Lepisosteus oculatus: one gene and its partner. The protein of the gene in region 1 interacts with the protein of each later gene in a biochemical or structural test. Links are inferred from orthologs where the notes say so. Each region holds a gene or a part of one and is shown on either strand. Other genes may lie near its edges.

Evidence for each region. The genes of interacting proteins can lie anywhere in the genome.
Region 2: the proteins of chaf1b (region 1) and histone chaperone ASF1 form a complex in vitro, tested with the Homo sapiens proteins (2 studies listed by BioGRID and IntAct). The link is inferred for Lepisosteus oculatus from reciprocal best matches to the Homo sapiens genes CHAF1B and ASF1A.

Annotation. Positions count from the first base shown.
Region 1 is NC_090710.1:18,474,318-18,478,071, reverse strand, and holds the start of chaf1b (chromatin assembly factor 1 subunit B), read right to left. Parts: upstream 2,280-3,754; 5' UTR 2,177-2,279; intron 699-2,176; 5' UTR 687-698; coding exon 561-686; intron 1-560. UniProt on the Homo sapiens protein: Acts as a component of the histone chaperone complex chromatin assembly factor 1 (CAF-1), which assembles histone octamers onto DNA during replication and repair.
Region 2 is NC_090704.1:23,424,553-23,428,306, reverse strand, and holds the start of histone chaperone ASF1, read right to left. Parts: upstream 2,639-3,754; 5' UTR 2,553-2,638; coding exon of another isoform or gene 2,505-2,552; 5' UTR 2,353-2,504; coding exon 2,244-2,352; intron 1-2,243. UniProt on the Homo sapiens protein: Histone chaperone that facilitates histone deposition and histone exchange and removal during nucleosome assembly and disassembly.

The DNA of each region.
Region 1 (3,754 bases):
CAAACAGTATTGATGCAAATAAGTGCACAGAATAAAGAACCACACTATTATAATACCAAGACCCGGACAGGTATTAAACATGGCAGCAAACTGTGTGGAGCTATAACGGGAAAGTACAAACAGGGACAACTATACAAGGAGGACATTCAAGAGTACAAACTGGCGACATACAAGGCTGGTGTAAAATGAGAACAATGTCAAAAGTACTAGAGCTGCAGACCAAAATGTCATTTTCTTGATGCTTTTATTTATTTGAACCCACGCAGAATTAAAGTGGGCCACTAGTCTCTGATCAACCCATAGTTCTTCCCCTGTCCACCGAGTACAATTAGGCTGCCAAAGGAATTTCTAGTTCCAAGCTAACATTCTGGTAAACTGAAAGCACAAAAAGCCCAATAACTGCATAGCTACACGATACCTCCGCTCCCTCATAACACAAAACCTCTCTACACCACCTTGAACAAAAGAGATTCCTAAACTAGCTGCCCCGCATCACACAACCTCTCCAGCAGCTCCCCCTCTTGGGGAAGTGAAAGAGCACTGGTCTACGGGTCACTTGCCCGAACAGTAGTGTCCACTCCTGCGGTGGCCAGCCTGTTGACTTTCCGATCTCCGCCATGCTGGAAGTCAATGCTGTACACTGGTTCCTTGTTGTGCCAGGCTATTTCACAAGTGATGACTTTCATCCTGGACCGCACCTATAAGACAAGCTGCGGTGAGCACAGGTGGCGATGCAGAAGAACCAGTCGCGCTTCAGACCTCCTCCCCCTGCAGACTTGAAACCCAGAGCAGGGAGATGGTCAGACACCTGACCATGTCGCTGCTGTCCTGTGTTAGGCACTGCACTTAACACAGAATTATGCAGATGTGTTGCTATGGCGTTGCAGACAGTTTTAATCTGGCAACACTCCACACTGAACCTTGCTTTTTTTTAAGGAGTAAAGCACAAGCTGACGGATTAAGCAGCTTGGTGCACTCTGCTGATCCCAGGTTGGCTGTGACAAAACAGTTGGGGTGCTTTAATTCCTAGCAAAAGGGAACCCGTGGCAAAAACCTGCCTTCTCCATTGTCTCACCTTCCAAGAGACTGAGCCCAAATAAGCTTTCATTATAAGTGTCTGCCAGCTGGAGACGAGACAAGCTGCTTCTGTTACTCTTAAGCACAAATTACATTTTGTGTATGGAGCTGGTGAGGCTAATGAACTCAAAGATGCTGTTTTTCAAAGACAACCTGACATGAAAATGAAAATGTATTAATAAACTACTCAATTTCTACAGCGCAACAGGCTTACTGCTCTGTTGCTGAATTTCTGAATACTCTGTTTGAATTGATGTGGTTTAAAAGAAGGATAAGGGATAGGTAGTTTAAAAGCCTTCTACGGTCAGGTACTAGTTACTAAGGCCTAAATAATTCGCAAAAACATAGTCCAATGGGATTCTAATTTGTGTGTCACTACTTCCTAACAACCCATACCTGGGAAAAAAAAGAAAAAAAATGGTAAATGCAATAATTGTGTCAGTCCGTACAAGTGAATACTAAAATACAGCACTACAATAGCAACAATAAGTGGTTGAGACATTTGCCAAGAAATCAAATACAACTCCAGCAGAAGAAGAGAGGCTGTGATCTCCCATTATGTCACAGATAACCTGTCCACAGTTCAGAGAAGCAGCCACTTTTACAGCAAACCGAGCACGGTGAGGGATTTTGATACGTTCAGCGACCGATAACTTCAAAACCTTACAGGAAACATACTCTCTTTCACACAAACAGACCCTGCTATGAGCACTGCAGATAGATGTTCGGCCTGTTATTCACAGCATTATCTCGCTATATGAGATGTACAGTCCTAAAAAAAAAAAACTCAAAACAAAAAAAAACTGATCAGTGAAAATACGACACGCAAAAGTTTGGAAAATTAAAACAAGTTTTTCAAAAGCTTTCAGAAGGTCACGTTTCTTATTTAAATCATATTCACTCTGTATTTGACCGGTTGTTTCTGAAGTGACTAGTGAGACGTAAACAGTTACATTCTAAAAGTTTTTTTGTCCCAACCGGCTCTTGAGTGGCGAAATATATATATGTGTGTGTGTGTACACCTGTACTTTCCCTATGCACGGTTCAGTATATTTAAAACGCGTTTAAAAAAAGTAAAAAGAAAAGATGCCAAACTTACCAGACTGACAAGCACTCCGCTCACTGTGATCCGCAGTGGCCGAACAGCTGAGTTTCCCGCGCTGCAGTGGGGGAGTTACTCGCCGGGAATCGTGGCCAGAACCGCCTTCATCATCCAACATGGCCGACTGAATTCGGCTCTTTCCGGAGGGTTTACGAGGAGAACCGAATACATTTCGAGGTGTCGAGCTGTAGCTGCAGAGGCATGGATACAGTTTGTGTATTGCAATAGGGGTTGACAAAACGGAGACGTGTAGTTACAGTACTGGGTTTAGCAAATAAACAAGAAGGGTATTATTATAACATTATTAGAAACATCAAATATTTTGTCCAAATAATAAAGTTACTCCTTTAAAAATTAAACACAAAAATAAGTTATATTCTTGACAGTATACTAAGCGCCAAAAGAATGTTGCCCCTCTAGGAATGCATCAATATTTGTAGAAAAATAAAGTAAAAAAAAACTGATGAAGAAATTAGATGTGGTTTCAATGACAGCACAGGCCTTCCTCAGGATCTGCTTGGCATAAAGCAGCCTTAAAAGCTCACCAATCATTTATGGGCTGAGATTTATGACATTTAGAAAGTATTTTTTCTTTTTGAATGTGTGAAGCAAACCAAGAAATATAACAATTAAAAAAATGAACAATAGTAAGTTAAATATTTTCCATTAAAGACCCATAAAATGCTATATACTAGGATACTTTCCAATTCCATCAGAACTTATTTTCTCAGACTATATAAGCACTGCATTTCAGTGAACTTGAATGGCTGTCAAACACAATTCCCAGATATGTGTCACAGTAACTATACCAGTGGATTGTTGTGGGAATTATATTGCTTTGTTTTTGACATATTCATCTCAAGGTAAGAAGTATCATCACACCAACAGACAATTTCATCCAGAATGGCTCCACATGTTTGTCCAGCCACTGAGAGCAAAGAGACTAATACACTAACATCAGCAAACCTGTTGCTTTGATTATTTTCAGTTTCTTTGACAGTCATCAGTATATACAGTAAGATGAAAAGGAGGGAGAAAGATCACAGCCTTGTGTTGAACCAGTGGAGTACAAACAGGGTCAGATGACAAACAACCTATTAAGAAATGCATTTGGTGTTCAATTGGTCAGAATTGTTCAGGTCTATGACTGACAATGACACATACTTTTAAGACCTGACTATTGTACAAGCACTAAATCATCTATTTAGCGAGGAGCTATACAGGTACAGGCGATGAGGTCATTTGATCTGTTGAACGCCAAGCCTGAGGAAATTCAAGAAAAAACACAAAAATGACATGGCCCCTCATCAAGCAAAAACCGACGTTGTGCCCTCGGTCTGGTACAGGCTGGACTAAACCACCACCTCATCACTTGTCAGGTGTTATCAAGGCCCCTGACCGGCATCGACAGGCAGGCCCAACTGTGATGGTCTGGGAAGACAGCCCTGCCCCCTGGCACAAAGCATGCCACAGATCCGCAGCTTATTCTGCTTTCAGCAGTGACCACACACTCCTAGACACAGTTAGCAGTGCTGCCTCAGTGTTGGGGCCCTGGGTTAAGCTCTGGCCCTGCAG
Region 2 (3,754 bases), on another chromosome or scaffold:
TTATGAAAATGGCAGTGCAGCTTATCCCATAAGGTCTCGATAAAGCTCATGTCAACAATACTGTAAGACAAATTCATGATCAACCTCCTTCGTGGTTTGGGGCCCCATTATCATGCCTGACAGATGACTTGTGAACATGCACTGTCACGTCTGTGAATGGCATTGTGTGACAACACCCTCCCAGGAAATCACCAATGGGAAAAACTGATATTGTTCTCTCCATCTTTATCTACTTTTAAAGCAAAGAGCTTTTTTATGTTTCAAAGTGTTGCTATGTAGACAAAAAAGCTTTACAATACAGTTTAATGCCCATAATCTACTGTCGACAGACAACAGAACAAAGGACTACTCACCACACTAGAGGACAGCAAGTCATTTCTAGCAATGATTATCACTTTGAACCATCCATTATTTTCAACATCTATTTCTGAGGTCTGTAATTATGCAATATCTTGTTAAAAACTAATTGTATTTTGAAACAAGATACAAGATAAAGTGAGACCTAGGTACACTGGCCAACTGGTTGCATTAAAGGTAAACAGATAAATGTATTTCTTTCTCTCTTTGACACCACCTTAGTTCTAATTTCCAAATTATGAAAAGCAGTTGGCTGCTTTCAGCACCTAAGGCACTGGAAAGCACCTATAAAATTTACTGCAAGTAAGCATGCAAATAAACCTAAGAGATGTGAAAATAGTTTTAATACTTCTGGATTGTGGGATTGCCAACAAGCTATTGATAACCTCTTAAGGTATTCATCAGTCCCCTGATTGGAAAGCATAAGACTAAGCCTATGACCTTAAAGTATAAGGCTGGTTTTCTCAAACACACACGCAAATACAGTACTCACAAGATTTCTATCGTCTCAGAAAATCATAGTGGTTTGTGTCATTAACCAATCATCTCGCATAACATGGAATTTTAAGACGACCCTCTGGTAGATACACATTATTGTAACGTATTGTAACTTTTGCTGAGAAAGGGTACATTTTGGAGGTTACATAACAATGTCTGGTTCAAACACTTCTAGCTTTCATTTAAATGAAGGGACTGTGAATGTGTCGCTGTTTACCATTAATCAGTACTAAGAAATATTATTAGACTATCCATAATGGGTGCTACAAATTCCGTATTAGCCTAAAGTATAAGCAAAGTGACATTTAAAACACTCTCAATGCGACTGCCCACGCCAACGGTGAATAAATATAACGAGGTGGAAAAAATGTTCAAAGGAAATATTTTTCCCCACAGAAAAAAAATGCTGCCCCGCTCGCGATTTGACACATACTGTAACCCGCCGCACTGACTTCACCCACGCCAATTACAGCGAAAAACGATGATAGAGAATAATATTACTTCAAAAACGTGGGGCGACTAACTTTTACTGTATTATTGTTTTTGTACTCTTACATACAAAAAAGTTTAAAACTGTGTTAATTGGCATGGCGATTAAGGAATCCTATCTGACAAATTGAAAAATTCCACTTACACCAAAAGCGTGATAAAACTAAGCTTTCCATCGGACGCATAAAGATTATAGTAACTATAAATATACACAGCCAATTTAGACAGAATACGGATTATTGGCTATAACTAGCATCAATCCTGGTAGGAGCCTAGCCAAGGATTGATGCTAGTTATAGTTACAGCCTACTTCCTTCCTGTGGCGAAACATGATTGAGCACTTCATACATTAACCAAGATAGTTTTAACAGATTCATTTTTCGCAAGTTTATATTCAAATAATTTTATTTTAATGTTTTTAGTTACACGCTTTATTTGTAAAAACAAAAACTTCTATAATTAGACGTGGTCATGCTCTCCATACATCTAGCTAACTACGATTGTCAGTGGGTCTACTGTCACTTTGCTTTTATTATACAAAAGAAAAATACATATTTTTAAATGCACTCATACCATACTGTCCAACAACTAGAATATTCCTGACAACATGGCTACCTTATCCGTAATACAGAGCCTAAATAAATCGATTACCTGAGTCAATGATAACGCGACCCCTCGGTGATAGAATACATTCCATTACAGAATTTCTAGATATCCGCGTTAGAGTCATTTGAAAATAAAAATAAACACCACTTACTAGTACTCCGTTATGCACAATTGTTAATTACAAAACTGTTACATATTTATTAGCAAATCCAGGCCTCGCAACCTCCAATCAATTGTTTTCTCTCTACCTTCTTAGCAATTTACAGTTTTGAAACAGAAGTACACTTACTTACCTTCGGGCAAATCTTCAATGCACTCGAAAGTAATCTCAAACTGAAAAGGATTGAAAAAGGGAGATGGGTTATCCAACACTACTACATTGTTCACCTGAACCTTTGCCATATTTTGCTACACGAAAACTATTAAGTGCGGAGTCAGCGCTACAAAACACGGCGCTTTCTAGTAAACACGCCACCCACGTCAAATACTAAGTATCGCACAGCGCAGCCAACTAGTAATCCAGTTTTTTAAATAGAAGTAACGCCGTCAAATACCGAATATCTCCGTTTTTCTGTGCCTACGGGTGACATTAAATTGTACATGACCGGCTGCACAGCTCAGAGCTGCGAGAGCAGCCTTCAGCCCAGCAGATGATCCTTGGGAAGGCGGAGGATTTGGATCTTTTTGCACACACAGTACAGTAAATTATTTGTAACTTTTATTGTGGGCGCCACCTGCTGGTTAAATAAGTGATGCATGCACATTTTCCCGAAACATTGTTTTTCCTTTGCTCAGCTTGAACACAACCAAACCTATCTTTCACTTTAAGAACTACTTCTCTCACAATAATAGTTTTAAAAAAGGCTGTTTTTTTAGCCCGTAAACTTCGCAGTTGTTGCTGTATACTATCTAATGATTTTTCTTCCCTTCCCTCAAGGAACAGGCTAATGGAAGAACTGCTAATACAGACTTTAAAATCCCTTTACAGTAACAGTGATACCATAACTGTGTAGGATGTGAACATCTTAATTAGGTAATTAGGCACTTGTTAGACCAAAACTCTTTTTGCATGCACCGGCAGAGCAGGTAAATCCAAAATACCATTCCCGCATCTCTGAATCGTATCGTTTGCAATGTTTCTGGTGCAGAAAATGCTCTAAAATGACTATTGTTCCCATTATTGGTCGATTATAAAATGGCTATAAATTGTTGACCCATAGCACACACCACAGGGCTCACCCATTTACAGACAAGATTCTAATAATTAGTTGGTCTGCTCTAAGCCAATATCTGTTGAACAACTATGAGAGAAAATGGCAAAAATGGGTGAATATATATCCAAAGTCCATGATACAATGAGTACCTACATTTACTTTCATAGCAGGTAATGATGATACCCCTCATCAATATATAGCTAGATCCTATGGCAGTGACAATAGTGTCATATATCATAATTATTGTGGAAAAAATGTTTTTTGCCTTAAAATGAAAGTATTAGTTATTATGAAAGTATTAAAATGTGGACTTGAACCCTGAACTCTAAATACAACAGTGATAGAGAAGCTACTAGGCACCCCCCAAAACCATGGACAAATGTGTGCTTGGAATGACAAAACCCTATATTAAAAAGAATGAGTTAGAGCACAATGTGTCATCACTGTCAAAGTAAAGACACTAAAATGGTGATTAATTGGACCAATGGATCATTGTTGGACCAAGGAATTGTTGGACTAGAATTCAATCGAGTGATACAAAATAGTTATGAAGAGGTCCTGCTTTCAGATGGCCACGTGAAATAAAAAAG